Drosophila melanogaster: one gene and its partners. The protein of the gene in region 4 interacts with the protein of the main gene of each other region in a pairwise test. Each region holds a gene or a part of one and is shown on either strand. Other genes may lie near its edges. The genes, in order: nmd, CG9570, CG1648 and CG17147.

Region 1 (8,741 bases), on a different chromosome or scaffold from region 4:
TATGAAAAATTTTAAAGAGCATGCTATATATTTGGCAGAGAGTATTCTACAGTCGAGTTAAAACTGTTAAACGAAATAATCAATGATACTCGATGTGACGGATTCTGTTTGTAACTGCTTAGTTTGCAGTCGCTTACATACATATGTACATATGCACGTAAGTATGTAAGAGACATCAGGTTGCTGTAACAGTAGTTCAATAAACATTCCATTGTTTTTACGCTAATTTCAATCTTGCATTAAATATTTATTTGCCAAGGAGGACTGCACAGAACAAGTAACAGGAAATACATGCATAACAAACACAATTCGTTAGCAACTTTTCCCTAATTGATAAAAACAATGACACACAACAATCGCGACTACATTGGTTTAATAATATTGCTGTTCGCTGAAATACCAAATGACCAATTAAGTTTTTAGCGCAACCCTGTTTGAGTTTTAATACAAACACACATAAATTGAACTAACAAATAAAAAGGTGTTTATATCCTGGATTTTTGTTTAGTATTTATAAAATTTGTGTCTTTTAGAATGCGATTGGAATGAATTCTGGATATCGTTATCGATTTTACCGCAATCGACAATTGTTGGGGGTAATCTTGAACCAAAAAAATACAATACAGTCAAAAAAACAAAGTAATAACGGTTTAAAAACGGTTTTATTATATAGAATATGTAACAGTATATTGCGATTTGTTTGTCGTTGCTTGTTAGGCTTAGTATGTTTTATTGCTTATGAATTTTATCATAAACTTTTAACAACAACAAAATAAACAATTTTATATATTCTAATATGCATTATATTTTATATTAAGCAACTTATTTTTTAGCATTTTTTTTATTGTGGGGAAAAAGTCTTTTAAAAGTCTGTCAGGTATATAATAATTCTCTGAATAGGATTATTTACGCTAAACATTTGATTAGATTATCACTTTTGAGCACCTTCTGCTGAAGCGGATTGGATTGGCAGTTCCACATGTATAGGACTTTGAAAGGCCATTGGTTGGAGTTGTACAAACTGAAATGGTATGGAGAATGGCATACCGCGATAGGCATTAGCCGATTCCTGTGGACTTAGGTCTACGTTGGAGCTATTGACAAAGTCTGGAGCAGAGTTGGCGGTCTCCAAATCCTTTCCCGTGATATTGAAAGGAGTAGGGGGACCGACGAGTTTCAGGGAAACCCCATCCCGTCCAGGAGAAGTCGATTCAATGCTAGTTTTGGGTACGTATTCCTGGTTATACTGCGAATCAAAACTACTTTTTGTTACGTAATCGTGCTTAAATTGAGGATCAATACTACTTTTCGTCACGTAATCGTGCTTAAATTGAGGATCAATACTACTTTTCGTCACGTAATCGTGCTTAAATTGAGGATCAATACTACTTTTCGTCACGTACTCGTTTTTAAACTGCTGATCGAGATTAGTTTTCGTTGCGTAATCGTGCTTTAACTGTGTGGGCACGGAGCTTTGATAGTCCTCCATCCTCGGAGGATGATCCAATTCCCTAGATTTGTATATCCTGTTGTAGTAGTTTGAGGATGGTAGGCTGGATGGTTCGTGTTCTCTGGGCGGTGGATGATCCATTTCCATGTTAAATTTGAACTCCTCGCCGCGTGGATAACTTTCGTAGAGTGATGATGACTCGAACTTATATGGCTCGCTGGAACGAATGTAAACGGGAACCTTTCGTTCTACCTCAACCTTATAGGGCACTGGTACCTTCTTCTCGAGATGAACTGGCACCTTTATTTCGACCGGATACGGAACAGTCCGGAGCACTGGATACGGTTTCGGTACGTGGACTATTTTCTCAATTATCTTTTCGACCACATATGGTTTGGGCACTTGGACTGGCTTTGGGATGTGAATCACCTTTTCCACTATCTTTTCGATAGGCACGTGCACTATTTTCTCAACTGTAACATTCACCAGCTTGGGCACATGTACGATCTTCTCGACAATTTTCTCAATGGGCACATGGACGACCTTTTCCACGGGATACGGTTGTGGTACTGTTTTGATCAGCTCCTTTATGTGGTTGTGATGATGGTGGTGATGATGATGCTTGATTTTCACCTTCATCCGCTTCGCATCCTTCTTACTCGAGTGCTCGACATGTTCGTGCAGAATCGCTTGTGTTCCGACCTGTTCGGATGCCTGGTATTGACCATCGTCCTCATCGATATGCTCGTGGATCTCTTCGAATGTATGATAATGCCTACTTTCCGTACTCTCATCCGCATAATTGGGACTCACATTTTTTCTTCGAGCACCAGATGGCTTATATTTCAGTTTATTCCTCGTCATTTTATCGCCTTGCTTTTGATAGTTTTTCACACCGCGTTTCAAAGTCACATTGCGTTCGGTTTCCCGATTATAATGTTGCAGATCCAGCTTTTCCGATCTTCTTCCGGTATTGTGAGTAGATCCTTTTCCGTATTCAGGATAGCTCCACTCGGCACTTTCGACACTATTGGTTTTATTCACAGCATAGGAATTACTGTGTGCAGTACTTCCAATAATTATTAAGGTTATGAATAGGTATCCAGGAATCAAAGTTAACTGAAATAGAAAGGATGCGCGTAAATGAAGTATGTACATACAAAATATCTCCTATCAAAAAGACAAATTGGAAATATAGCTTACCATTGGGTTCATTTTTTGTTAAGTATATAGTCTCGCTTGGATTTGAAGTGGTTTAATCAACGCCTTCAACAGAAATGATTTGAGCCAATCGAAGAAAGTATTTATATGAGCACGAAACATAATTAAAATGTGCAGAAGCAAATTTCTTCGCTTGAAGTTTGTACACTCTATATTTTTCTTAAATTAAGAAATTATACAAAAACATCAAGAACTAATTTGTTTTGGTTTGATTATTTAAAATGTATGCATGTTTTTATTCATTTTTAATTAGATATACAAATGTGTAGCTTTGAAATGCCGTCAGAAATAAACGACCTTTTTAAAAGAGAATAAAACTGCACAAGTTTACTTATATTTTTTTTTACGATTGAAAGCCCACGGTCGCGTGACGCAAGTTGTGTGTGTGTTTGAAGAAGTGTACAAGTGCAATATCTTTATAAATGTTTGAAATTTCTCTAGGTGAATATTTCACAGAAGCCCGTAAATGTAATAATTAAAGTGCATTGAGCTCCGCTTTACGGAAATGCTATGGATTGTGTAATTTCCTGCAGTATCCGTTGCTGTTTTCAAGACTACCAAAACTACGTTTTCCGGATACCCATTTTGGAATGCAGAGAACAGGGTTAATTAACACATAACATTGGAGCTCCTCTCGAAAGGCAAATAAAAAGTTTATTATACAAATTTAAGTTGGATATATCGGGAGCTTGAATAAACAATGGTCAGCTTAATCTAATTCGATTCTATTCTCTAAGAATAGGCTGCTCGTGTGCATCTTTGATTCCTTAATTTTTAAGTGCGAGCCCAGCAAATCGTCCATGGTGATGCGGACGTTGTTGCGATCAAGCGCTGTAGCTGACGGATCTCTGGACGTGATGAGCTGCCTCATTCGGTAAACTGAAGCATTCCGGCACATTTCCCGCAGGTCTGAGCCCGAGAAGCCATTTGTGAGCTTGGACAAGCGATTCAAGTCGACATCCTGACTTACTTCCTCCGATTGGAGGATCAGCTTCAGGATGTCTTTTCGTTGGGTCTCCGAGGGCAGACCAATGTGGAATTGGGCTGGCATGCGGCGCACAATGGCCTTGTCTAAATCCTGCGGCCTGTTCGTGGCACCCATCACAATCACCGTCGAGTTGGCGTTCGTGCTGAGGCCATCCCACAGCATCATAAACTGGGTCTTCATCATGGCGGTAGCCTCGTGGTCGTTCATGTTTCGAGATCGCAAAAATGAGTCTATTTCGTCAATAAAAATAATGCATGGCTCGATTCGCGATGCAAGCGAGAAGACAGCAGAAGTCAATTTCTGGGATTCCCCGTACCACTTGTCGGTAAGAATGGCGACGTCCAAGTTGATAAAGCGCATTCCCGCCTCTTTTGCCGTCGCCTTCGCTATCAGCGTCTTTCCACAGCCCGGTGGTCCATGGAGCAGGACGCCTTTGGGCGCCTGCCACAGCTTCGAATGCTTGAAGAGATCCTTGTGCTGGATTGGCAGCACCACCGATTCCCGGAGCTCCTGAATGACTGAATCCAGACCGGCGATATCGGCCCAACTGACTGTTATGTCGGCGGGAACAACAAGATGTGACGCAATCATAAGCTCGTAGTCGCTAAACTCTTGCCCTCTTAGCTTGAAGCCCTCCTGCTCGGCTAGCCTGCATGGAAAAGGTTTACACATGTACAATATATGCTATATGAGTCTAATATAAACCTCTTAAGCTGCTCCTCAGCCAGAACTTTGGCCTTTTTCTTGTTTTTACTGGTCGGATCCATCTGGTTCATCATCCATTTCACCGAATAATATGTGATCAGCGAGGCCACAGACAGGCGAACCAGTACCTGGAATATCTGCCCCTTGCTTAGATCCGATCCGCCCAGTCCGAAGTTGTCCATGTTTCTGCAGATATTCTATTTAGAGCAAATACGTTGGCCTGCACGAATCTAATCTTTCTTGTTCTTATTCCCCATGCACACCGACGACAGTGTGACCAGGTGCTCCGACTGAAATTGACATCGATAAGCTCAAAATTGCTGCCAACTGAATTCAATTTTTGTTAGCCTATTCCTTTTCCACTGTTCCGAAAATATTTTTTCAGCTTAAAATAAAAAGATTTTTTTTTTTTTTAATTTTGAGTATTAACATATTGGGCATATATTAAGTGAGAGCATTGTGAAGCATGAAGATTAAAACCCACAAATTCAAGTGACAATTTTGCTCTTAGGGTGTATAGTGCCTGGGGTCAATACTCCAAATCTTCAACTTGGCGTCGATCCACGGACGAAGCTTGGCCACGCTGGCGTACACTCCGGGAATGTTCACCTCGCCGCATCCGATGCCCCAGGCAACAATGCCGGCGGACTTGAAGCGGTTCTTCTGGCCAGCAATTGGACACACCAGTGGGGAGCCACCATCACCCTTGCAGGTGTCCTTGTCCTTCTCACCGCCGGCGCAAATGAAGCTGTCGTGCAGAATGAAATGCCTGCCGAGTCGAGTTTCGCGCAGATTCGTCTCGCACTGCTGCTCGGGCACCACGGGCATGTCGACCTTCTTCAGGATAACCTGATATTCCCCATCCTTGCCGAACTTGTTCTTGCCCCAGCCGGTGGCATAGCAGCGATCGAAATCGAATTTATCACCCACATTGGGCAGGCAAACGGTCTGAATGTTCTCCTGGAGGGTGAATGGACTTTCCAACAGCATGACAGCCACATCGTTATAGAGCGATCCCTTGTTGAACTGCTCATGGTAGATTATTTCCTTGACATATCGGTCTTCGTGCCTTCTGATCTCAGTCTGCGTTTGCGTATCCCATTCGCCAGCTCTCACTAAATGCCAGTTCATAATTAGATCTCATAGATGGCATAGATGGCATGTACACTTACCAACAATGCTACTGGGCTGTTTGTTGTGAACGCAATGCGCCGCGGTCAGAACCACATTGGGAGCTATCAATGCTCCTCCACATTCGTACAGGTTAAGGTTGCCTTCTTCCCGGAGAATGGCCAGCATCCAGGGGAATTCGCCGAATTCGGCCTCCTGGTTGACAGCTCCAGTGATCTTAAAGCCAACGCCGTTGGGATTTTGGTAACCGCAGCCCTCGGGATGATCAGGCTTAAACTCGAAAATCGGATCTTTTCTCTTAACAAATAAAATTATAGTTTAATTTAAGTAATCAAAGCTTATTGGTATTTATGTATGTGTTACCTTGTTGGGCAGATCACAGCAAAGATCCAAATAGTTCTTGCATTCGGCGTCCGTACCAAGTCGAATGTCAATGATACCATCGCCACTGGTGTTAATCGTATCATTGGCGCACAACCAGCGAGGAACACACTCCTTTTGATCGCCACAGGACTGGTACTGCGTTGAACTCGATCCTCCGTTTTCGGATCCCGTGCTACCGGACGAATCCTTGGGGTTCACCACTGGCGGGGGAGGGGATGATGGTTTGGGTGTTTCGTCCGTTTTAAAGATGTCCGATATCAATTTGTCCAAGGAAGAGTCCTGGGCACCACAGGAAAATATGCACAGGCATATTACTAGGCAATTTAGTAATATCATATTCCTGGAAAGCAAAATTAAATCATGCTCTTTACATATTTACATAATTAAGGTCAGAAAGCTCACTTATTCGAGGAAAGAGATGAAGATGAAGGTAAGCAAAGTGAGTAAAGCTCGAGTATTGGTAATATAATAATGATTGTTATTGCTGGAATATCGCACTTAAACCGGATAAAAGGTGAATGTGATTCCCCCAAAACAGAGTGACACATTTTAATGGAAGGGAGACGCGGATACGAATACGTTTATGTTTATGCGGCGAACAATTAACCTAATTAACTCTAGAATGTATTGTCTTATCAGTGAGGCTTTGCTTTCTTTTTTGAATACTAAAATTCCGAGCAAATATATACATATGTACGTATTGTTTCTTTTAGATCGCCTCATTATCAATCCTGATTGCTTTTTTGTTTAAATATGACTTTTGGCGATAAGAAATGCTAATGTATTGCGGTGGGTCAATTTTCGCTGTCAATAAAAACAAAGCATGTATAATTACTTTAAAACACAAAAATAGTTTCTTATGTGTAAGCGCAATCCCTCCATTTTTCGCAAGAGTTAATAATAAGTTATAACACACTAATTAATTGCCATTTACACACAAAGGTTCACCATTTTTGCTAACAATATGTTCCTTGCAAATAAAATAGGGCAAAAACTGGTTTTAGTTTCGAGTAAACTTAGCATTATACAATTCTTCTTCATTAACATATATAAATGTATTCCCATTGCCGCTGATTTGTGCTCATAAAAGTACGTGAGGCGGTGATATTTTGTACACTTTATTCATTGAACTTTAAGATCTTTTTGATTGATTAAAATATGTATATACACATGTACATACATATATGGATGAAAAATGTATTGTAGATGTTACAAGACATAGAAACCACCAAAAAGATTAAACTCTATCAGATATCCACATAACTGAACTACACATTTTCAATAAATTGAATTTGAGTCCAATTTTATTTAGTATAAAGTGTACTCTATTAGTAAGACTTACTTAATTTATCAAAGTAGCGCAACGTTCGCTGAGCAATGAAGAAAACACTCAACTGAATTGATTTCTTATTCAATCTTAAGTCTCAGCCGATGATCTTCTGACGAGAAGCTTTGAAAGCTGGTTCCAATTGAAGTTCCCAGCTTACGTATTACACAGCGGAAAACCAGTTCAAAGTTTTATTTTATTTTATAAATTTATAGATAATAAACATACACAAATTATGTACGTATATTTGTTATTAAAAACCGTTTTAATGGTTTAGCGTGTTTGTAAAATGCGATTTCAAATATTTATTTATTTTTATTCTCGAGCCAAGGAACAACTGGAATTGAAGCCCGATAACGATAGCTGTGCGACAAAATCGAAAGCATCAGTGTGTCCGTGAGTTTCGCCTCTAGACCTGTGTGTGTGACATTTGATGCGCCTACACATACATATGATGAACAGGAATTCTTTTTAGTTCATCAAATGAATACAAAGTAAAGTAAATTGAAAGGAAGCGCCGATCGCAGTTGTTCAGTATTCAGAGAAACATGGAGCCGTTTACCCATAATGATGGCAATCGCGACGAACTAATAATTCAGCAGAAACGGGATATTGAAAAAGAGGTGAGTCTGCAGAAACACTTACACACAATAGCGACAATGAACCGAGAAATAATGCCGAATTTCAATAATTGCAGATCAGCGACACAACTCCCTTGGTCAGCGAGCAGTTGCCACTCACCTGCTTGTATGCGGAATACAGTGGCGACGAGATCTTCACCGCCAAGATCCAGGATCTGTCCAAAAAGTACAAGTTCATTCGCCGCACCCGCCCCGATGGCAATTGTTTCTTCCGAGCCTTCGCCTACTCCTACTTGGAGTACTTGATCTCAAACACCAGTGCCTACCAGGAGTTCAAAAAACTGGCCGAGGAGTCCAAGGAGAAGCTCGTTCAGCTGGGATTTCCTAGTTTTACATTGGAGGACTTTCACGAAACGGTATGTTTAGCCGTACAAATGCAAAACGAATTCCCTATGCTTATGCAGCCTTTTGTATGTCCAGTTCATGGAAGTCATCCAGCGCGTTAGCCCCGACAATGCAGGAGGACACAGCACGGTCCAAGATGAGTTGCACAAGATCTTCAATGAGCAGGGTTACTCAGACTACGTGGTGGTTTACCTACGTTTGATCACCTCGGGAAAACTGCAGGAGGAGGCCGATTTTTACCAAAATTTCATCGAAGGCGACCTCACCATTGAGGCGTTCCGCCATCTGGAAGTGGAGCCGATGTACAAGGAATCGGATCACATCCACATAATCGCTCTATGCACCGCCCTCGGCGCTGGAGTTCGTGTCGAGTACTTGGACCGTGGCGAAGGTGGGACTGTGAAGGCCCACGATTTCCCCGAGGGAAGCGAGCCCCGAATTTACCTGATATATCGACCAGGCCACTACGATATACTGTATCCAAATTGAATTGCTCTCAGTAGTTTCTAGATTACGAAACGATTTATGTATATAAGATGTATAATAAAC
Region 2 (7,799 bases), on a different chromosome or scaffold from region 4:
TAGAGTCTATCTTGAATTGCCTAATTGAATAGATACATTCTGGGACATGAACATAGGGTTCTTATAGGTTTTACTAATTTATCAATATATATGACTATAACATATATTCAAGCTATGATGCTTATCTATACCTTCAGTTCCCCCCATTAAACAATAAAGTGCCAAATTCTTGGCGCACTGAATGGTGGAATCTTGTGATAATTATTCGACCATATTCTGGCAGCTCGATATCGGTTGTGAATGGGGGCATTAACATGAACATAACGACTAACTGTTGCCAGCGGAATTTCCGTCCAAATCGCGACGAGGTGTTCCTAATGGGATTATGTTCGTCGGTTTGGAAGAGCAGCCGGTTCTTTGTCGCCAGCAGTCACGATATATATATGTATGTATATATATTTACCTTATGTACATCTATATATGTACATATATAGTATGCTAGGAAACTGGGCCTCTTTGAAGGAAGTGGCACAACTATCGTGCATCCATCGCATTAATTTCAAGGAGGGATCGCGATTTTCTGGGATGGTGCGTGCGTGCCGATAGCGAACTAAGTGCAAGTGGCGTTCGCTAATTGTTGGCCATGTTTTTCTGCTGACAATTCGCTTTCGGCCAAATAATTCATGCAAAACTCCCGAAATTGTCACGCAACCCAGTTCACAATGCGGCGATGATGATGAGACGCTGTTAATTAATTAATTATCCCCCGCCGCTCGACGGGGCAGCGGTTTTGTGATTTATGATAAGAACACTTTGCCCCATTCCGCTGCCCCCCCCCCCCCCCCTCTCCACTGCCACCAGTTTCCTGTGCGCATTTTGCGATTTGGTGAAAATGATTTCCTCCTGGCTTCCAACACGCGAAAGTGACATTTTTATTGTTGGCGTTTTGCATGTCGAGGGGATGCCTGGATGTCCTTAGAGAACTGGTTGGGTGTCTCGGGTGGGTGTGGCTTGGGCGCTGGCTGTACCATCATTAGGCCAACTCATTTTTGTCCTGCGCAGCGTGGGACGCGTGCATCATGTTGCAAACAGCCAGATGGGCCAGATGGGCCACTCTTCGCTGGCGAAAAAGCAGCGAGAAAGGACGCAGGACCTTAAGGTGGCCCATGTTGACGATGCTAATTAGCCTCCGCTCCGCCATTGTCCTCGGCATCAGCTGGCTATGCCACGAGTGGGCCGAAGGACACTCCCGTCCTTCGTCCTCCAAAGTGGCATACAGACAAACAAACCAACAGGCAGTCGCCAAAGGCAAAAGTTTTCGTGGACAAATGATCTGCGGAGTGCTTTTACCTCCTATGATAATAGTCAACCCCAGTTTCAAAGGGACTTGGAGGATTTCACCCGAAAATGATTTAATTTTCGGCACTGCAAATTGGCATTTGCCTGCTTAAAGTATATAGAATTTAATGTGTAATTAGCAAGGCCTAGGGCAAACTGTTCTATTTTCTTTCTGAAGGGAATTATCTTTAAGCTGATAAACGCAAGACTCAATTGGATCGCTTTGTACGTGTTTAATTGTCATCTTTTGAGATATGACTTCGATTTACTACGCCCTCGCATGATTCCCGCAAGGATTCCCGATGTGACAATCTCCATTCGCATCTTTGGGCACTCAATAACCGGCCAGTCAGCAGTTGTTCCCCCCAGATTCCTGCCTGTCAGTTGTCCCATTTTCGATTCCATCAGATTTTGTGTATTCGGAGCAGCCAACGGTGGTATTATCATCAATTCCAGTGTCTGGCAAAGGTTCCACCGCACCTGCACCCCGCCCACAGTCCGCCCACTGTCCGCCCACAGCATCCCTTGGATTTCTTTCATCCGAGAGTTGGTCGTCCTTAAAATATTTTCGGAGCAATGTTTCCATAAATACACAACACAGGATCACAGAATGGGAAAAGTGGCTATAGCACTGGGAGCGGGAGTGGAAGTGGAAGTGGGAGGCCGTCAAGGGAACGAGGGACTCAAAAACAGGCACGCACCAAAATTCGGCACGCTTTGGGTGTATGAGTGCTCGGTATCTTTGTATGAGTGTGCCTGTGTTGGTGGCCATAAGCAACATAAGCAACAGCGAAGGAAGAATAAACAAAAGCTCTGCTCGGCCATTGTTTGCTTAGGAATACACACACACACACACACACACAGCGAACACACACACACTCTGCGGCACGCACACAGCAAAAAAAAAAAAAAAACCATAATTCCGTGAACCACAGTGCGTATACGCAATACGGGCAGCAGCGTTAAAATCGCGTTGCCAGAAATTGTATGAATGATAAAAGCCAAAAATTGGCCTTCGAGTGAAACGAAATGAAATTAGACAACATTTCTGATGACTTTCTGCTCTGTTTGGGTCTAAAATTGCCCGGGATTGTATTTTTGGCATTTTGGCATTCGTATTGGTTTTGGGAAGTTGAGAGCAAGCCTAGCACGGGGAGCAAGGCAAAACCAGGACGAATGGGCCAGTCGAGCCGACAATTTGTCAATTGACGCGCATCCAGGCGCTGGCAGCTCCTTCCGCCCGACTGCCTCTCAATGCCAGGACACCAAGTCAATTTTCATAGACATTTTACTGCAGTCCATCATTTCGCCCCGTTCCCCATTCCCAGTATCCTTTGGCACGGTCTTTTAGAGCCTTTCGAGTCCATCTGGCTGGAATAAATACATTTGCTTCGTCTGGTCTGGTCCCGGCATGATCGTTCGTCTAATTGAGGCCGCTTTGCGAAGTCTTTTTGTCTGCAGCCCAAGTTGCAGGAGGCGACGACAAGGGGTTAGCAATCAGTGGTGGTGGCCAGCAGCTTTAGATGATTCTCCGGCAGCTGCACTTCATCAGGATTTTGTGACTCCTCTGGCTCTGGAGCAGGCTGCTCAATCTTCTCCAGATCGTGATCCTGCTTCTGTTTCTCCTCCCGCTGGCACAGGACCGCCTTCATCCGGATGTCCTTGACATCCTTCGACACCCTCTCTGCTTTAGTTGTCTCCGTGGCCTCGAAGGCGTTTATCCAGAGCATGGCTGCCAGCGTGGTCATCAGACCACCCATGATGGCCCACTCCCAGCGCTGGTAGACTTCGGTGGAGACGCCCAGATAGCGGCGCAGCACGAACTGGGTGGACAGGTGGAGGATGTGCTCCACGCTGCACCAGAGCCACAGGGCCAGGACCTCCATGAAGGCCACGCCCAACACCAGTTCGATCAGGAAGGTGGTCAGCCAGCCCATCCGGCTACGATAGCGCGTGGGCAGGATCTCCAGGTCGTGCAGGAAGTATAGGATGGCGCAGTAGGCAATGTGGCCGGCGTAGATGGTGCCGGGAATTACCGGGAAACGCTCTATGTCCAGCAGACAACTGCCACGCATTCGGAAGTGCAGAACGCTGGCAATCAGGAGTACCAATGTGCAGGTCATCGTGGCGATTGGTTATGCTGGGTGTATTGGGCACTTTTAATTTTTCAACTTTCCTCGATTTATTTTACGATTTTGTAAAATTAAAAATTTTGTAACAGGCCGAAAGAGGGATGTGTGTGTGTGTGCTAGCTTCAACGAATCGTTGTGATTTGCTTATGTAAGGTTGGTTGCCCGGGCTTTGAAGTTTCGAGCACTTTGGCGCGGAGTACGTGATCGAAGGAAAAACATTTCGTAACGAGGCAAAAACTGGTAACGAATGCGCCTGCCTAAGCATGCGACGGGATAACGGAAGAATTCGTTACTACTTCACTTTTACAACGCTCTTTATTTTCTTTACAAATCTTGCTATCATCTCACATTTCGCACTACATTTCCATTAGTATATACCTGTATATACCTGTTTCGACTCAATTCAAAATGACCACGGTTGGAAAAGTTGATAAGCTACCGGCTATTAATCGCAATATTCATGGCGAATCTTAATCTTTATGTCAATGCTGGCATAATTATTTTTCTCGTTTTTCAATTGCCTCGGCGAGGATTTACCATGCTATGTGAAAATGCGGAAAAGAGGATACTCCCACCTGCAGACGGGGCTAATTCCGGGCTTAGCCATATTTCCAATTAATTGTAATTCGCTCTGGCGCAGACAATTTCCATGCATTTAGCAGTGCGCCAGGTCATTAGGTGACCCCCAGTTCTTCGCTGGTAGACCGCCACGCTCCGCCCCCCTAATCCCTTGTCACGCCCATTTATGTTCATAAATTATGCAGTCAACCTCTGATGCTCATTGACCCAGAGGAAAGGCCACCCCCAGTAGCCCCACCTTTCGCAGTGGGGCAGCTGTCGAAATGTTATTTCTTTCCTTATTTCTGCCTCATTTTTTTTGTGCTGGCAAAAGCGGGCGGGGAAAACCGTTTGATCCCTTCCGGCTTAGCTGGGACTAAAAGTAGAGAACGACGAAAATAAAATTAAAAAAAGCAGACTGACAGCGGGTGGGTTAATCGGAAGTAGGACTGAGGGGTTGGTGCTCATTGGACAACTCAGCGCCAGAGACAACTTTAAATTTATTACCAGCCAGTCCCAAAATTATGTATTTCCCATTAATGTGTCTTCTTTTTCGGACATAAACGCTAGATACTCCTTCGATCTTGGCTCTTGGTTTCGTGCCATCGTTTTGGGTAGAGCAATATTTTGCATTGGGAGTTGGCTTTGATTAAAAAGATGGATACCATCCCCAGTCGATTGGGATTTTTTGTTTTCCGTTTTTGGGCAGCTTGACTTGCTGCCAGCCAGTCCATTGAAAGTTTGGTTTTCTGGTTTCTGGTTTGATTCCCGCAGTCCCGCCAACGAAGCACGTACAATGGACTCGGGGAAATGGGAAAACTGGGAAAAACTGGGTAAATGGGGAATTGGGAAAATGGTGATATGGTGAAATGGGGACATGGGGACATGGGGACATGGGGCATGGGAAAGTGCCATCCCCTAAGAACGCACACTATTTGCTTATGCAGATTTCGACCAACATTTCGCATTTGTTTTCAAACGGCAAACAGCAGCAGAAAGTGAAATGTGAAATGTTGCAACAAAAGGGGTCACCAGATTTTTCTGATATCATATGATATATGAGATATGGGCCCTTTTGTCTCTGCCACTTCCACTTGCCACTTGCCACTCGCCGCTTTGGCATACATATATTTATGTTAAATTCATGATATTTAAATTAGTTAGCCAACAGTTTGTCCTTGGTCCCTCGTCGGGCACCCTGACCTTTGCCCCTTGGGGTTTGCCGGCCGCACAAAAGGCCACCCGGCTGCAGTGGCCAAACATTCAATTATGAGGCCTCCAGCCTTCAAGTTTCTGTGTGTCTGACTTTGACTTTGGCTCTGGATTTCCAGCTTCAGCTTTTGGCCTAAGCTCATCTGCCATTAGCATTTCAAATGCCACGCATGGGATAGTAGTGTGGGGATATGGTTGTTGGGGGGACATCAAACTTTTGCCATTTGCCTGCGAGCGGCAAACGACAAAAAGCAACGCAAGCTGGCTAAAGTTTGCCATCATATATCTTGTCAGTGTGCGATGCATACGTTATCGGCGGCGCCCTTCTTTCGTTCTAGCAGAACCCCTCACCCCTACCACTACCACTACCACCCGCACCACCCACCTTTCATTTGCCGCACTGGTCAAGTAAATGAGTTTTCCTGCGGCTTTTCCACATTTGTTTTTGCGTGCCTTGCCATTTGACAGATCAAAGACCGACTAATACACGAGCAAACAACAAACAAACTCGCACAGATCGGATGCCGCACCGGAAATGGATATTTAATTAAAGTTCTCGGCTTTGTCACATCGCCTCTTCTTTGCCTGCCATTCGAGTTTCCCCGATAGAAAATTGAAATCGCCTAATGTTAAAACGATGGCCACACAAAGGTGAGCAAACAATTCCTTGGACTCGTATCACATGTCGCTCGAAATCAATGGATCTACGACCACAATATACTTTCTAAGGAATTATATAAAACATAAAAATCTACCATTGTGCTCTCAGTTTAAAAATAAACATTCTTTTGGCCTGCTGTGCTAACTAAGCGATCTAAATATGTATGTATGTATTAAACTGGGAAATTCGATGCCATTGAAAAGCGAAGCGCTATTATATCGTTCTATTACTTATAGGAATACTTGTGTTACTACTAAGTAAGCAACGCACATTTTCTGTCAGTGTAGCCAAATGGAGTTTAGGGGGCTAGGCGACGGAAGTGGCGCACGGAGAAGCAAGTTGTTCCAGAGACAAACTTTATGACTTTTATCTGAGCTCAAGTTTTGAGTCAACCTAAGAAGTCGAAGCGTCGAAGCTCCAGCCCCCTTCAAAAAATAAATTTCCTTTGCCAGCCATTAAAAGTGGGGCCACCCACCAATTCTCATCAGCTGAGTTCTCAAACTGCCTCACGGCCAAATGCATAAATATTTTCACTGTCAGTGCGCCACGCCTACTTTTTACCGCCCCCGTGTCCGCATCCTGTTTCTCACACCGCAAAAAAAAAAAAGAACTGTTGTCGTCGCATTGTAATAAATGAAATTTCATGGCTTGAGTTTTCGTTTATTGCAACTATTTTGGCTTAAGTAAATAAGCTGCTTACATTTTTTCCATATGCACATTCATGTTGTGCCCTTTCACGGGCACTACTTTTGTTCGAGTGTAGCAGCCGCTTAAAAAACTTAAACACGGGCATTTTCATATACATTTATTTCGGAGGCTGTCCACGTTGGCGGTCCATGGAGGAATATAGTATATATAGGATGTATAGGATGTAGGCGTGGTACTGAATTTGCATATTCACAGAAAAGCAGGGCGACGCAACGCAAAAGTGTCATAAAAATTCTACATTTCAATGAAACGAAGTCGAAAAACAACAACAATAGGGCGGCTATGGTATGGGGAAAAGTCTGGACAGCCAAATATAAGGGCAATAAAAATGTTATATGCCGGCAAAAGTCGGACCAGAGATACCGAACGATGTCCGGCAGGAGTTTTAGAAATATGCAAAGTGTTTCAGGACGAACAGAAACCGGAATCTCTGTATCGGTCTTTAGGAACACATATTTTTATTGATCATTTCGTGAAGCTATCGAAATTACTCAGAATACCATTCAATCGGAGTGTCACAGTCTTACAAATACATTAAAAAATTTGGCGAACTGTGATTTATTGTGTTATTGAGTTGCATTTTTTGCTGTTATTAAAAGCTTTAGAAATAATTTCCTAAAAATTTCGACAGCGAACTGTGAGTGCGTTCTCAGCCGATGAGTCGAAAAAAACATTTCCATAATTGCGTGCAATTGGAGCCAATTAATGGGAAACGAAAAAAGTGCGCTAGTCACGCCAATATTTTCGCACCGAATTATGTGGCATCCATTGTTGTTGAGGACCATGGGACATCGCAGAGTTCATGTTTATTTGCGAAATGGAAATCCGCGATATATAAGCATCCGGTCCGTTTCCCGTGTTTTGTTTAATCAGTTTTGCAGCGCATTCTAGTCGGTCTTTTGGGTGTTTTGGGATGTTGGGGGTGTTGAATGCTGGATACTCGCTGCCTTTCGCCGGATTTTTGCATAATGAAATTGGAATACGGCGCACAAAGTGAGCTGCGATGCCGACATCATCGAGTTACAAATTCGTTTACGTTCACGTTCCCTTCCCTTTATCACTCGCCGCCAATGGCGGGGCGGAAAATGCAGGAAAATGCGAGGAGGAAAAAAAAGTAGGAAAAGGCACAACACAGTTGTGGCGCGGAAATGTTCTACGTTTTTCTCACTTCTTTTTTTTCGCCTCTCTTTGGCTCTCGGCCCTTTGTTTTTCGTGGCAGATTGCGTCAGATATTAAATTTATTTACGCGA
Region 3 (8,227 bases), on a different chromosome or scaffold from region 4:
TAATCAATTAAAATATAATAATGTAAGATCTAGTATATGGTTTAACTAGAGATGGGATATAAGCCAGATTAATAATCACTGAATAAATAGAATACTAAGATGATAAGAACAGAATATGACTAAGTATCCCCTAGTCGAATCCCTGGAATAAGGCTCTTGAGCTGATTTAGTTGTTGTTCGAGGGGGTTTATTTAGCATGCAGCTGGCAAGACGCCCGTCAACGTCCATTGAGTTCCCCGTGGATCTAATGGCTCCACGGCGATAAATGCGAGAATGTTGGTGTGCGCAGTTTGTCACAGTGTAAGTGCGAGTGTGGGTGCGTGTGTGCATACATACATATGTAAGTGTAAGTGCGCAAATGGAGGGATAGGGACTTCCCCGGCAGCAACAATCAGTGGCTGTCGCTGGGAACTTCTCCTCTCGCGCAGTTTTAGTTTCAGGGCCGATAATACTCCTCGCCTAATTGCCCACACACGCGCACATTTAACTTTTCAGATAAAATTAACGCCGCTGGCTGCGTGTAAAATATGCTCATAAGTGGAATTGGTCACGGCTTAAAAAGCGGATAAGCATCTGTTTGAGCACTCATGAATTACCAAAGGGTCAATCAAAAGGGCATCAAGCTGCTGGGAGAGACGTGAGTGTTTCAAAAACGCATGGCAATACCAACAAATAAGGTCATAATATATTAAAAACGATATTACGCTCACCAAATATATTCACTTTATGTCGCCCTCTAAACTTTGAAAATTAAAGGAAGCCCATGGAGGGTATGGAGTGGGCATACCCAACATGACCGGAACTCCGCTGCACGCCATTTTGCTTGGGTCAACACGAGCTGGGAGCATGTTAAACCATGATTAATATGTGTTGATAAACAGTTATTGTAATTAATCGCGCCGCTCGTATCGCTTAACTTTAAATCAACTCGCTTGGGCTAACCTAATTGGCGCGACTTTTGCGTGGCCGGCATAAATTTGAATTTGGCGCCTCGCACCCACTAGTACTTGAATCGCAAATGGAATGCATTTATCATTCGCCTTTCCAGTCAGCAGGCGCACTTATCTGAAATTAAAAATCGCTCTTACCTGAATTTATGTCAGCACTTTGCTGCCAATACTTTGCACACATTCCTAGCGTCCTTTCGTCCTTTGGTCCTTTCGTCCTTTGGTCCTTTGAAGTTGTGCGTTCAATTGACGTTGCAATGCACCGGGGTCACTTGTTAGCCACAACAAACTTTTCCCATAATTAAAACCTAACACAACTTTCGGCTTCTGTTCGACGAAAAGTTGCCCGACATATCGGAGTACACAATATGACCTCTTCTATTAGCAGATTTCTGCATGTTTCGGTCTATTTGTATAGATCCGTCCATCTCCATGGTCCGCTTTTCTGCGAAAGTTTCCCCTGCTGCTCACCTTGGATCTGTGAAAAGGTTCTGTAATGAGACAGGCAGCTCTGGAGGAAGGGGAAAGGGTAAGCCGGAAAAAACTTCTTTTGTCTTAGAAGCAAAATAAAATGTTACCACTTTTGGGTGAACAGTGGAATGTGTAGAATTTATAACTGATTTATTGGTTTTATTAAAGAAATTGTATATAGCTGTAATTATATGCTCAAAATATGTCCAGAAATAATATTATTTTCTGAACAACCAATGGCCAAGATAAGTCAGTAATTAAATAGTAAGCCCAAATAAATACATCAAGTAAACTTGTAGTTTGAAAACTTCATTAAAAAGTAATTTAATTTTTTTGAATGAAACGGTAAAAGCGAGATAAAACATGGATACCCTGTTTTCAAACCATTCAGCGTTCTATCCCACATGTAGGTGGCGCTATTTGCGCTTGCAGCCGAAGTAAATTCAGTGTGGCCAGATTACAGTATTACCATACATCACCATTTGGCGCTAAATTGAAAATGAGTTAATAAAAGTTTCAGTAATAATATAATCAACATAACATCAGTATATCCAAATATATACATATAATACGCTTTGCTTAGTGGCACCCCCACCAATTGAAAGACCACAAATCTCATTCGAATCCAATATATTAAAAACACATTTGCAATGTGTTGTGCAAGAGTTAAAGGTACTTAATCATACATCTCTACATAAACAGAATATACGTATATTAAAAGCATACTCAGCGCAGCTGTATATAAAATATCAAATGCCTCAAAGTAACAAAATTCGGCCGAAGAAGAAGAACGAAGGGGTTAATTACACTTTGTACGGATACGGACAGAGGATGTGCTGAAATGCTCACATCGAAAGCAGCGGCTGCAAAATAATCCGTCCGCGCGATATTCAAAAAATATGTAAATATATATATATATATATATTGTGTATATTCAATTGAGGATTTAGCAATCACATTACTGGCACTCGTTACATTGAAGCAAATTCCTTTCTATTTTTTTTGTTTTTGTATCTAAAGCATTTTCACATCAAGATATTTTAGGTGGCACCGCGAAGGGAGACGCCTCTACTTCTGACCCAGATGCAGCTTGCCCAACAGGGCGTTGGCCTGCTGTCCGGCAGACTCCTGGGCCTGTCCGGCCGCATCCTGGACGGTCTTCTCGACGGACTGGCGCTTCTGGTCGACATACTGGTTGGCCTCCTGCAGCTTCTGGTCCACCGTTTGACTGGTCTGCTTCAGTGCCCCATCGATGGCGCCCTCCGCCTGCTTCAGCTTCTGGTCCGCCACGTTCTCGGCGGCCTTCACGCTCTTGTTGATGGCGTCGTTGGCCGCCTTCTTGGTCTGGTCCACCGCATTGGCGGCCGCTCGCTGGGAGGCCTCCGCCACATTGGCCGCCACCTGCTTGGAGTTCTGGGCCACGGCCGCCGCCTGGGCCACCGTGTTGTCCACCGCCTGCTTGCCTTGGTTGACGGCTCCGGCGGCACGGTTCACACCCTGGTCAATCGCCTGTCCAGCCTTCTGAGCCTCCGCGGTGGCCAGAGCAGCGGCTTCCTTGGCTGTATGATAAAGAGAGATATTAGTGGGAAAAATTCTTACAAAATATCTTTAAAAGTGCTCCTAAAGATATTTATTGAATTGGTCGGGCTTTGCTCCAGCATAAAACATAGCATTGATGTTCTGTTTAGTTATAAATCTCTAGCACATTAAATTGCTTTTCACAATTATAGAAATATTTCAATATTTATGAAGAAATGTTTTCAAAAATGCGAATCTTATTCTTGGAAACATGTTTTACGTCAACGCGTCACTAAAGAATTCCATTTATTAAGTTCTCTTGTGTTTGATATGCTTAAAAGATTTGCGTTTTAGATAAATTGGAAATGGAATGCTAATGAGAAAACATTTTTAGCAAGAACTGAAAGTTGATTTTGAAAGTTATCTCAAACGGGACTCATTCAATTCTTCGTTGCAAGAGTTTTTGGAAGTCTTTAGAATTAATAACTCCAATTAATTCTCTAAGACATCTTTTATGTGTTACATTCATTATTTTTTGGATGTTCGTTACTCACCCGTGCTGGCGGCCAACTGCTCGGCCTCGCCCTTGGTCTGCTGTACGGACTGGCCCACCTTCTTGGCCTGCTCCTCGGCTAGCTTCTGGGCCTCGGCAGCCTTCTCGTTGGCCAGCTTCTCGGCCTCATCCTTCTTCTTGCTGAAGAGGTTGGCGGTCTTGTCACCGAAGTTCTTCAAGGAAGCTGGGGATTGAATGAGGAGTGCATTTTAGATCCTGACTGTGCTGGCTGGATGGGATTACTTTGGTTTTGGCGACTAGGAAACATGCTGACTGGCCCTCTGAATGCTAACTAAGCTCTGGCCTGGCGCTAATTATAATTTATAGCCTGATTGCAATCAGCAGGGTGGAGCGCCGATCAGATCGAAGATGCGAGATTTGAGATTTCAGATTCCAAATTCCAGACAGGTAATTGCCGAAACATAAACAAAGCAGCTGGAGCATGAACTATTTACATGACTAAATCGGATCGATTAGACTGGGACACTTTCCTATTAATAGAAACTGCGCAACTAGGGGCTGTTGAAATCGTGATCGCCAGCCCCATGGCGTCAGCCTTAAAATTCGAGACTTGAGACTTATATTCGCAATTTAATAGAAATTAACGAGCGCCAGCTTTTGCTGTCCCCTCGAATCTGCATTCACTGGGAGTGACGTGTGCGTCCACTCAAATAGAAACATTGTGCCGCTCAACTCGGAACCGGGTGCGAATCGGTTGGGCGAAACGGAAACGGGCGGAAATAGCCGAGGAATTTCTTTGTAATATACAGTATGCTTGTATGCGAATGAGGCAAACAAAGCTCGAGTATTCAAATTATTCGGCGTATGTGATGTCATAATGGGCAGCCGGCGAATGAAATCGCCCCCAAGTTTCTAGTGCGGTCTATTCACGCTTTCTGATTGTGATCGGGAATGTGTTTATTCTGATTCGGTTCTCTCCGCAGAGATACTTTAATGGCCCCATACACTCGGCTCATTTCCAAATAATTTAGTTTCGGCCAATTTCGCATTTCGCATTTCGCATTTAATGAGCCAATCGCCACCGCAGGAGCCGAAAATTGTGCGAAAATAATAGTTTCTATTCTACGCTTGCTGGGTATCGAGATTATGGAATGTGTGGGCTCGGCCGAGGTGTTGAAAATTACTTTTACTGCTCAAAAAAAACAGGGTGAATCAAAGGGAATTCAGACATTTCAAATGCTAATGGCTAATGGCTAAGGAATGTATGTATGTGGCATTGGACTTGCTTAACAATCTAGAATCTAGAATAGCAATTTAAGTGGAAGGAATCGTGCAATCTACACTGTACAATATGTAACTATATGTATAGAGATGCATGCTAAGTATATTGTGCTGTTTTCCAAATTAAAATCGTATTTAAAGATACTTAAAATACATTCGTAGAATGATAAGTTATTAAACTTAAAAAAGGTGGCCTTACGTATAAGGCAACCGCAGTGTTTAATATTCCCCGCCAAATCCTTTGGATATATGTACATATATATCTTAATGGCTTACACACGCGGAATTCCTAAGGCCAGCGGCCCTATTTAAGGCATTTGCGTAATACGACGCATTTTGTTCTTCAGTCTTTATTCAAAACTGTGGCAACTTGTGGTCAACACTGAAAACCGGCTAGAAGCATGGCCAAAAGGTAACACAATAAGCCCAGATTCTCTCACAGCCTCTGGCGTCGTTTTTGTTTTGGTTTTGGTTTGGTTTTAGTTTTGGATTTTGATTTTGCTCTCTGATTTTGTTTTCGTCGATGTCGCACTCGCAGCTGAAATAATGCGCAGAAGCCTCGGATAGAGGAAAACCTGTAGCTGTAGCTGTAGCTTGGGCTACATGGGAACCCAGCTCGGAACGGACACACATACGGGCATGGAACGAATATCTATGAGTTACTGCGATTTGAGGTCTGCCGACTCACGTTCCACACCAGTTCTGGATGCCTTAAAAAAAAGAGCTACAATCCGTGATGAATCGATGGAGCTACTGGGGCCGCCGTTGTTGTTGCCATTGCTGATGATGTCATGTGAGATACAACTGCACAATCGAGATACAATATACGAAAGAATTATATATGTGAGAGTAGCGCGCGTGGCAGAAAGGGGTGGCGTGGTACTCACACGCCCCACGAATTGTTGTGGCCACCCGGCGCAATCGTCATCCGACCGAAGGTCGTCTGAGTCAGCTGGCAACAGAAGGAAAGGCGGGCGATTCGTGTCCTGGCCACGGACAATCCAATGGCTGATGTCACGACCCTGCCAGGTAAATCAATAATCGGAAAGAACAAGGCCGGGTCAGACATCTAGCCCTTCGGGCGGGTTATGCTAATGACTATGAAGTCACTCCAGTTGCTCGAATCACAGAACTTAATATTCTTAGCGTTTTTGAGCTGTTGAAGATTACCAGCGAGTTCATAGCCAGCAATTAACTCACTTCGGCAGATACAAACTAAATGGGAGGACAGATCAGGGTCAAAGGAACTGAAGCATTTTATATCCATCTATCATCATCATACTCCAGAAGAAGAAAGCTCTGCTACCTTCGAATGAGTTAGAATACTGCTAAGAATTATTGCTTATTTCAAAACCATATATATAATCTTTTAATTTATTTGCATTAAACTTGTATTACAATTTTATAACATCTATATATGATATAATAGTTACTCGCAATATGCCCATTATTAGGCGGATGAATTGCCATCAAGGAATTTAGAGGGTTAACATTACTGGCAATTACAGCACCCCATGCGACTTTTCCGGCTCGTTTTCTTCGAGTGTATCTAATAGCCAATTAAACTGAATGACCCTAAACCTGACCCACTGGCGGGTGAGCAAATTAGCCCACGACATTGGCGTAGGCATTCCGGCGGCATGGACTTGTAATTGAATTGGCCATGCTGCCGAAGATGCCGCTCCAGCTCCAGCGAGCTCCAAATCGATTGGGCGCACTGCTGGCCAGCGGAGGATATAAGTACAGGAGGCGATTTGAGCCGGCTCACTGTGCACCGGCGGAAGCGAGCGAAATGAAGCATCTCCTGACTGCACTCGTGGCCCTGCTGAGCATCCTGCCGCGGGGCGAGCTCCTGGGATCAGGACCCCCCTGCCCGCGTCGCTATTTGCGCAGGATCAACGGCAAGTGCTACTACTTTTCGGTGAAAAAGGTAAGAGTTGATCTGTCGCATGGGCTTATGAAATAATATGAAACCCATTCAGATGAACTGGTTTGGCGCCCTGAACAACTGCCTACGCAAAGGACTGACCCTGGCGGACTTGAGTAACCAAAGGGACTTCGACGGAGCCATTGGGTTCCTGAGTGGCCTGGGCAACACGGAGGATTTCTGGTTCGGGGGCAACGATCTGTACCACGAGGGTCGCTTCCAGTACATCAGCAACGGTCGGTTGGTGCGCTACTACAGCAACTATAGCAACGTCCTGCCACTGGAGCACTCCGAGTGCGACGACTGCCTGGAGGTGAGGATCCGCTCCGAGATCAACATGGTGTCGGCAGACAACTGCCACGAGCGGCAATACTTCATCTGCTCGGAACGCTACTGCCAGGGCACGGATAGTGGCAAGAAGCCGAAGCACCACAGTCACGAGCACTTGCATCACTTCCACCACGACATTGGCGGAAGTGCCGAAGGAGAGGACGATGGCGATGGCGATGGCGACCACGACCGCCAGGACCCCATTGCCAGTGGCTCAGTGGAGCACCCGGAGCCGGACTCGGAGGATGCAGTCGGGGCGCTCGACGTGCCCGATGACGATCAACCTGGTCAGAATGGCGTCTCGGTGACACCGGGAGCGGAAGAAACAAATACCGTTGGCGGAACTGGTGAGCCGGGCGCAACTGCCACCCCTGCCGCCGGAGCTGAAGCTGTTTCTCCAGCAGCAGAAGGAGCCGCACCCGCCGGAGCAGCTCCAGCTGCCGAAGGTGCCGCCACTCCTGCCGCCGACGGAGCCACGCCCGCACCCACTCCCGCGCCAGGAGCAGAAGCACCCGCCGCCGCAGCAGCCGAGACTCCGGCACCGCCAGCAGCCTGATCTCCACAACTTGCCCAGCTGAAGCCCACAACTATTATCGATTAAAAATAAATGACAGCAATAATATAACAAGTTATTTTAAAATATATATTCAAGTGCAGGTCGGCTTGGGTACACGAATGAAATTAAATATACGAGCAGTTAAATAAATTTCAATCGAAGTTCAAGTTTCTAACTTTCAAATAAATCAAGGGCCAGTGTATAAGATAAGTTCTTAAAGATGGCATTATTGACATGCAAAGATACTTTATAGTTTCTTATATGAAAGTTTAGTTTCTGTTCAATTCATCCTGATGATGAATATGTAATTATTCGAATTTTACATGTAATAAGTATACAGAGCATTGAAATTATATCTCTGAAAAATACAAAATAATGGGGATGAACTTTAAGTGGAGGGTCACCTATTGACCACTTAATCGGATAGCAATTGAGTAATTTATTTACTGAACCCTTTTAAGATGTCAGTGAATTCGGGAACTTCTTCATCCCAGATGGAAGTCTGACAAGTACCAGCATAGTTTCAATACTGTGGGCGATTGAGAAACCAACGACAGATGCACCAACCCCTGGGCATCACCATGTCCAATTAGAATTAATCAATTTGATGGACTGCAGCAGTCGATAAAAATTCTGTGCGAACAATACACGACGATTCCCTAATGGAAATTGGTCACTCCTCG
Region 4 (8,075 bases):
ACTTAAAGTACAACAACACGCAAGGCGCAGTGCTGCGACTTAAATTCTCTGTGCGGGTGTATTTATCGATAACAGCCGAAACCGAATCGGTAAAATTTTAATTACGAATGTAACGGTCGTTGATGATTTCAAAAATGCAACAACAAAGCGGCAACTTCGTATGGAAAACGCAAAACTAATTGAGTTTTCTAAAAAAAAACTGCGGATTTATTTTTTACTTCCCATTGTCCTACGCATACATATAAAAAAGTTCTTATTTTCCTGAGCATAAGCTCTCGTTTTATTGCAAATTAACTCAACTACGTTTTGTAGATAAACAAATAGAAACAGTTAACAAGACGGTACTATTAATCTTGGTATTTTCATGTGGATGTTGTTCTACATTTTGGTAACTGATCAACAGAACGATAAAACTAATTGATTTCTAAATTTAGAAAGATTAGAAATGTGTTGTCTAATTTTAATGCGTACCATACGGGCAATTACCTGAATTTTAAATGTGTGCTATTAATGGATTGCTCATAAAGCACATAGTATATGTTTGTATTGTACCCAAAAAAACTGAAATTTCAAGCCAAATCGTAAATATAATTGTTTTGAAAACAAAATAAAAACAAAAAAAAATGCTATAGTCGAAGTCCCCGATATTTTTGAATATTAGTAGAAATTAAAAACCAAACCATAATTTAAAAATTGTTCGAAAGTGTGGTCGTGACAGTTTTGGGTGGTTTGTGGAATATTGATCCTGATCAAGAATATATACTCCATATGGTCGAAAACGCTTCCCTCTGCTTGTTACATACTTCTCAACGAATCTAGTATACCCTTTTAACCTGTGTACCTTTCTAGTGTCTTTGCTTTTAACGGATATATTGATCGCCAATAAAAATCAACTACCTCTTTTTCTTTGCACTTTTAGTTAAATTTATTTTTTGTTTAGTCCCGGCCATCGCAACACTTATCGTAGATGATCTTGGAGGAGCACGCTTCCACTGTCTCGTCGAAGAAGTGATCCCAGTGGCAGGTTTCCTCCGTCACCTCCTTGTTGTCCACACACCGGATGTAGTTGTGACAGTTATTGCTGCTGCTGGTCACCAGCATCGTGCCGCGTCCGTCGCATCTGTTGTGGGTGCACACCACTGTGGTGGGATTGGCGCAGAGCTGCCGATCCTCGTCGAAGAAGTAGCCCTCGGGGCACTGCGTCCACAGTGGATCCAGGTCGGCGACGGGATAGAGGGCCTTGCATACGAAGTATCCACGGCAGGTGGCTTGGTCGGATTTGAATGTCATTGTTGTGCTGCTGGTGCAGACGTTCTCCTTCGAATGGGCGGTGCACTCCACCTTATTGGCTTCCACGCAATTGCCGCTCTCCACATCGAAATACTCGCGCTTCTTGGAGGTGACAGTGCAGCTCTTGGACGCATGGTTACCGGTCTTGTCACACTCATAGTAGTAGGCGCAGTCCTTCTCATTCCGGAACTTCGTATTTTCCGCCACCAGCTCGCAAATGTTGTTCACATCCACGCACATGGAGTCCACGCCGTACAGGCAGGACTGAGAGCGCTCATCGAAGTGCTGGCCTACGGGACACATCCCCGCCAGCGGTACGCCGTTCATGCAGTAGAAGTACTTGTGGCACTCGGTCGGATCGGCCACCCATTCGCCATCCAATCCCTCGCAGCGATTGCCGCAGTACTTGTTGCTGTTGGCCAACGTGTCCACGCAACTACCCTTGCTGGGATTGAAGGACTGGTTGGAGGGGCAGGTCAGGACGGTGCCGTTGCCATCGTAGCACTGAATGTACTGGTCGCAGGTGCCGGGCTTGCGAACCTTGGTCCCGTTCTTGAAAAGGCGACACAGCTCCTCGTATTCACCGACACTCGCCGAAAGAGCTACGGTAGCCAACAAGAGAACGCATCCGAGAAGCACTCCAAGTTTGAGGTCTACGAATGATATACATATGATCGCGAGATATTAGATTGATACAGCACACCTTTTGAAAAACATATAGATATGCTTAAAAACCTTTAAAGATATACCTATAAAAATGAATATGAATGAACAAAATATCTAGATTCTACATTTTAATTGTATCTTTAAAAACGCATGCAAGCTGTTACTTTTCACTAAAAATAAAGGCTGAATCAGGGTGTATAAGTAAATATCTATGACGGTAAATTAATGGGTTCATAAAACTCACTTAGCATGGCTGATTGCTGGGAAACTTTGGTTTAATTTGCAACAGAATAGATCGAGTGGTTTGATGTGGCCTCGGGAACCAATTACGCGCGACTAAATGGAGTTTCGTGAATGGAAGAATCTTATATTAACTAGGAGTCATTATCGTTGCCACTGCTTCTGCTGATACCAGCGCTTTATTGCCTCTCTTATGAGCAAATCTTATCAATGTTGTGCGAAAGGAGGTAAAACCCTTCAAGTAGGTCGTAATTGGTGATTGAAATCGATTGAAATCGAGACAGCTGACTGCAGATTCCTTAACGACTCACTTTCATAGTAAATTTTGGCAACTTCAGTCGAAAAGGAAAGTGCCACTAGTTAATGAGGTATACCCACGGTAGTTACGAGTCAAATGAACCTTCTGTTGGCCGTTAATTAATTGAACTATAAATATATTTATCGCTGATGCGATTAAACGGTCAGCAGTTATTGTGCCGTAAATATGACAACCTTTTAAAATATACTGCCTTGCTATTTCACTGTCGCTTTCGATAGGTTTTTGTTTGGAAAATCAGAACTTTTGAAAACATTGATTGTAACCAACGAATAGGACAGTGATTATCATTTATGGTCTCCTCGGTGAGGCCATGCTATTCCATCGTTACCACCTGCAAGAAAAGTTTCCATGATTGAGTGAATTCTTAAAATTCTATTTGTTCATTTACCTAGTTTTCAGCTGAATTGTTCCAGGAATATTAAACAAAATACAGGTGTTCTTCACTCACCCATCAGATATTATTTATTCGAATTTCGAACTAGAACTTGTTTAAGATTATTGTTCTTTTTGGTAGCTAATCTTAAGCATTAGAGCAACGAAAACAATCTACGTTCTTATAAAAACGGGTAAAAAAACAATATATCTCAACTACGATCCTCGAGTTACAGCAAAGATACTGGCTTACAGCAGAAACTTGTCATTGTGCATAAACACGAACTCGCTAGAGAGCCGCGTATCTATATCTATGACAATCCAGGTTCCACAGTCCCCGAAAGAATCCAAACTAGTGCACTTCATTACAACACTTCCTTAACCAAATATCACATTGCATTCTGAGCTTTATTGGAAATACATGCCTACGTCTTGCACGCGGTGTAGGTCTGGACACTTGGAGTGCAGGCGCCCTGCTGGTCGTCGAAGAAGTAGTTGCCGCAGGACCTCTCGCTCACGGTTACCCCGTCGGAGCAGCTCAGATAGTTGCGACAGCCCTTGGTGGCACTAACGACAAAACTAGCAGTCCGACCGTCGCAACGATCGTGGGAGCAATAGACCGAACTGGGGGTTATGCACATCTGGCTGCTCGCATCGAAGAATCTGTCCTGGGGACACTGGTTCCACACCGGATTGGGGTCCGGGGTGCCATCCTTCTGCTTGGCGCAGTAGAAGTAGCCGCGACAGGTGGCTTCATCCGCGACGAACTTGTTCTCGTAGGGCTTACTGGCCTTGCCGCAGACATCCGTGGGCAACGGATGGGCATCGCAGTCCACCAGAGCCTTGGACACACACTCGCCCGTGCTGGCCTGATAATAGGTTTTCGAGCATGTCTTGTCCTTCAGGACGCCCTTCTCACAGACGTGATACATATTGCAGCCCTGCAGATTGTCGAAGTTTACGCCGTTCTTAACAATGCTGCAGTACTCGAAGGTGCTGGTGGTGCAATCCGATTCGTGTTGGCGGGAGCACATCTGGGTGGTGGCATTGAAGTGCGTCTCCTGCGGACAGGTGCCGTACAAGGCCGTCTCCTCGTCCGCACAGTAATAGTAGCCGTAGCAGGACTTGGGGTCGGCCACGAATTGCTTGGCCCGATCCGCGCAGGATATCGAGCAGCTGGACGTGGAAGTGGACAGTGACTTAACGCATTTGCCCGTGTCCTTGTCGAAAAACGGAGTAGATCCCGTGCATGTACTGTAGTAGCTGACGGAATCGATGCACGTGATCGATTGACTGCAGGATTCGGGATCTCGGATCACCGTATTATTGGAGAACAAGCGGCAGATGTCCTCATTCCGGCCATTAACCACATCTAGGCCTTGAAGCAGTAGCACCAGTGCCACGCCCAGTATGGCACCAAATTCTGCAATTTGAAAAAACAATAAAGTTAGATTTACACCACTGGCAGTTTGCAATCCACTCACTTTCCATTACAGCTCAACTTTGGACAAAGCATAAACTCGTACTGAATCTGAACGTCGACCTGCGATTACTTATAAATATCAGAGGATAAGCAGCAATCACTATTTGCTGGCAAGATAAGCGGATTGGTTTTTGAGGGGTATTCAACTGGGTAAGATGGGTTAAATAAAGATGAATAGAAGTCATTTGTTAAAAGCTCGAAGATTACAATCAAATGTATTGATTTTGCTTAGGGATTTGCTATATAATATTTTTGAAAAGGTAAATGATAGAGCACAAAAAATGGGAATGTTTGATAAAATTGTATTTATAAATTTAATGTTTTTAAGGAGCATTCATAAAATTTTACTTCAGAAAAAATTAATTATATTTTTCGTTGCTAAAGTACTGGGTGATTTCTAGTCGTAGTGAATGGTGATTTTATAAACAAGTTGGAGATTGCCAATTGGCTACCGGTAAATTAAATAGGAAGTAGATAAGTTATCATTTCGGCCAAAAAATAGTAATAAAATGAAGAGCAAGATCAGCTGGTTTAATTCATAAGGCTTAGTGGGTTAATAGAGAGCTTCCCTTCTTTATTATAAAAAAAAAAACATTTTTAGTACTCTACCAATTAAATATAAAAAGTAAATAAGCACGTAGCTTGAACTATTTTTTAAGAATTTAAATTACTTCGAAAATGCCTTGTGATTTGGAAAAAGTATCGAGTAAAGTGTTTAAATGTCATTGCATACTTATGGGCGAATTTCTAAACGGACAAAACTCGCTTTTAGGCGAAACAATAAAATAAGGCGGATAGATTTAAAATAGTTTAACGGAAAATAAAACTGACTAAAAAAATGGGGTTTTTGTTATTAAACATTAACATCAATTATTTTTATAGATTATATAGATAGATAATAAAATTTCAAAATACTTGCATATAATTGTACTATTTAATTATGCATACAAATAAATAAATATATATAACTCATAATTTCATAATTTCATAGTGCGATTTATTTATTTTGTATTTCAGTTCAAACGGTTCTTTTGGACAAGTTATTAATATAAACATTTGTAGTTCGGTAATTTTTCCCCAGAACCTGATAACCTTCAGAGGAAAGTCTAGTCAAGTCAAGTCAAGAGTCGCAGTGCGATTCAAATTGAGATATCTAACTAATGTCGTGTTGCTGAAATGAGTGCCGAGATACCAGGGAAACACCACTGAGTGATCAATAAGAGCCGTGACACTTTCCCGCCTCCTCGAGCTTCTTCGAAATTAAAAAACAATTATAGACAAAGAGGGTTCGCAATCAGCAGCTGATAATCCAAATTCCGGCGCGGCTGTCAACGTATAAAAATATATATAAACTATATATACATACTAAACTAAGTATGTATGGTGTCCGCTGGCCAAGAATCGATTTGAGCTTATAAGCCAGTCCATTTTGGCCGGGTCCGCTAGTTTCACTTTCGTCGTCCAACGCCTTCGAACCGCCTTCAAGCTAACCCAACAACTTCGGAGGGATGCAAGGTGCGTGGTTTACCCCAGACCTTAGAATCTTATCTAGCATTAATTTCGATACTAACGCCCTACTGGCGGCTGGCTTATCTGGCTGACAATTTTTTAATTACCCACCCAGTTCGCGCCGCGAATTGTCAACTATAAAAACGCAAAGGCTGCAATTGATTGAGTTAGTAACGAAATCGGAACGTTCGCTTCGGTCGTCTGTCTATCAAGTGAATTTGTCCCCGAAAAATATTAGCATTCCAAGATGGGAGGTACGTTGGCTCGAAGAACGGATACAGTTATCTCAGGTGCACAGTATTCAAGACGTCTTGCTTCGACTAAATTTTGAAAAGTGGTTTCAAACATGGTTTTAAGGCCCTGAAATTCTCCTGCAAAGGAGATGACTTTCAAAAATGGCTAAAATGACTTTCAAATTTCGATTTGTTACTCAAATTGAGTTTTTCTTTCGTCCTTAATTGATTTTTTATCCAAAAAAAGGGCTGCCGTGTTGGCTACAACAAAGGCTTAACCAATTTTAGAGACGCTAACACGAATTTTGGATTGAAAGCTATCAATTTTGTCGTTTCTAGCATAATTTCTTTGCATTATTAAGTACAAACAAAATAGAAAACTATTCGACGATTACACATGTCTATATTTTATTTAATAATTCATAGTTCGTATCCCCCTGTATCCCCCATTTAGCAATCAATATGAGGATCTGTGTCGTGGCCGCATGTCTCCTAATGGCATCGCAGGCCACCGGCTACACGATGGATGATCTGTGCCAACAGTGGTCGGGCTATGGATACATCGGCAATCCGAGCAACTGCCATGCCTGGGGATACTGCAAGAACCAGGAGGTTGTGGCCTGGGGCACCTGTCCCAACGGCTTGGTGTTCAACGCGCAGGCCGGCAGCTGTGATTACGCTAATACCACGGTGTGCTCCACCAGTGCCGTTGAGACATGCTCCAACGTCAAATCTCCCATGTATGTGGCCAATCCGTTGAACTGCACCGAATACGCCTACTGCGATGGCACAGGCCAAATCTCCTATGGCGATTGCGGCACCGGCGGCGTCTATTCGGCATCCTCCACAAAATGTATATGGGGACCCGCCTGCCCGCAGGACACCATCTGTCGGTTCATGTTGTCCAACATCTTTGTAGGCGATCCGAACCAGTGCGGCAACTACATCAACTGCGTCAACGGCTATGGCACTTCCGAAAAATGTTCCAGCACCGCCAATCCCTACTATAATAAAGCCACTGGCAACTGCCAGTCGACGAATCCGTGCACCGGCGAAGATTCAAACAGTGGAAACTCTGACCAGTTCACTGTTGGGCAAACAAATGCAACTGCTTGTGACGAAGAAGCTTTTAAAGCAGCAGATCCACTTACTGTAAATGGGGAATCTGTTGACTATAGGTACGTTTCTGATGGTGTCACCTGCTATGGGTACTACTACTGTGCAGCAGTAAACGCCACTGGCTATTGGAACCAATGTCCCACCGGTACCCAATTCAATGCTGGCAAGTGCGTTTCGCCAGCCTCCTTTGTCTGTACCCATAACCGATGTGGGAACGTTAACAATCCATTCATGGCAGATGAGGGTTGCAAGAACTACACAATCTGCTCCAGCGGAATAACCGGATCATGTCCCACCAATGCGCCGTACTACGACGAGGTGAACAATATCTGCACCACCAAAATTCCCGATTACGCCATTTGTAATTCGACGGCTAGTACATGAGCATCTCCTCCAGCCACGTCTGTTTGCCGAGATACCTTTTATGAAATATATAAATAAATACCAATGCTGAAGGCATTCAAAAGAAACTAATAAAAATGTTGACTTCGACCAAGCGAAATTTGTTTTAAATGTTGTTGTTTTTGAAATTGTTGATTAGTTGTTCGCCTTTTTGGTAGCAAATCTTTCAAAAAGAGGCTCACAGAAAATGTGCCTCAAAATATAAATATAATTTCTGCGGGATGGGTATTTGTAAATGTTATCTGCCAAGCTAAGTTAATTAAATAATTAATTAAAAAAATTCAATGGCCTCCATCTATTGTATTAGAAGAAGGTGGAACAGTAAAACCCCATTGCTTGGGAAATTTCTGGAGAAGTTACTTGATTGACGTCAGCATTGAGATATTGTTTTGAATTCAGTACTTCAAAGCCTAGTATTGTAGTAGGCTGCTCCTTCTACCCT

What was found.
Region 1: the proteins of CG17147 (region 4) and nmd interact in a two-hybrid assay, tested with the Drosophila melanogaster proteins (one large-scale study listed by BioGRID).
Region 2: the proteins of CG17147 (region 4) and CG9570 interact in a two-hybrid assay, tested with the Drosophila melanogaster proteins (one large-scale study listed by BioGRID).
Region 3: the proteins of CG17147 (region 4) and CG1648 interact in a two-hybrid assay, tested with the Drosophila melanogaster proteins (one large-scale study listed by BioGRID).

Annotation. Positions count from the first base shown.
Region 1 is NT_033779.5:10,299,291-10,308,031, forward strand, and holds nmd (no mitochondrial derivative), read right to left. Parts: upstream 4,658-8,741; 5' UTR 4,547-4,657; coding exon 4,365-4,546; intron 4,309-4,364; coding exon 3,381-4,308; 3' UTR 2,883-3,380; downstream 1-2,882. Other genes in the region: CG13138 (uncharacterized protein), read right to left, coding at 932-2,569, 2,654-2,665; CG5390 (uncharacterized protein), read right to left, coding at 4,872-5,479, 5,537-5,792, 5,859-6,215; CG4968 (uncharacterized protein), read left to right, coding at 7,755-7,829, 7,904-8,203, 8,268-8,681.
Region 2 is NC_004354.4:20,047,058-20,054,856, reverse strand, and holds CG9570 (uncharacterized protein), read right to left. Parts: upstream 3,564-7,799; 5' UTR 3,402-3,563; coding exon 2,769-3,401; 3' UTR 2,338-2,768; downstream 1-2,337.
Region 3 is NT_033778.4:9,808,992-9,817,218, forward strand, and holds CG1648 (uncharacterized protein), read right to left. Parts: upstream 3,784-8,227; 5' UTR 3,758-3,783; coding exon 3,733-3,757; intron 3,674-3,732; coding exon 3,491-3,673; intron 2,978-3,490; coding exon 2,487-2,977; 3' UTR 2,328-2,486; downstream 1-2,327. Other genes in the region: lectin-46Cb, read left to right, coding at 6,524-6,661, 6,714-7,544.
Region 4 is NT_037436.4:20,218,155-20,226,229, reverse strand, and holds CG17147 (uncharacterized protein), read right to left. Parts: upstream 2,299-8,075; 5' UTR 2,208-2,298; coding exon 2,201-2,207; intron 1,944-2,200; coding exon 937-1,943; 3' UTR 906-936; downstream 1-905. Other genes in the region: CG17145 (uncharacterized protein), read right to left, coding at 3,313-4,310, 4,372-4,378; CG6933 (uncharacterized protein), read left to right, coding at 6,127-6,169, 6,567-7,615.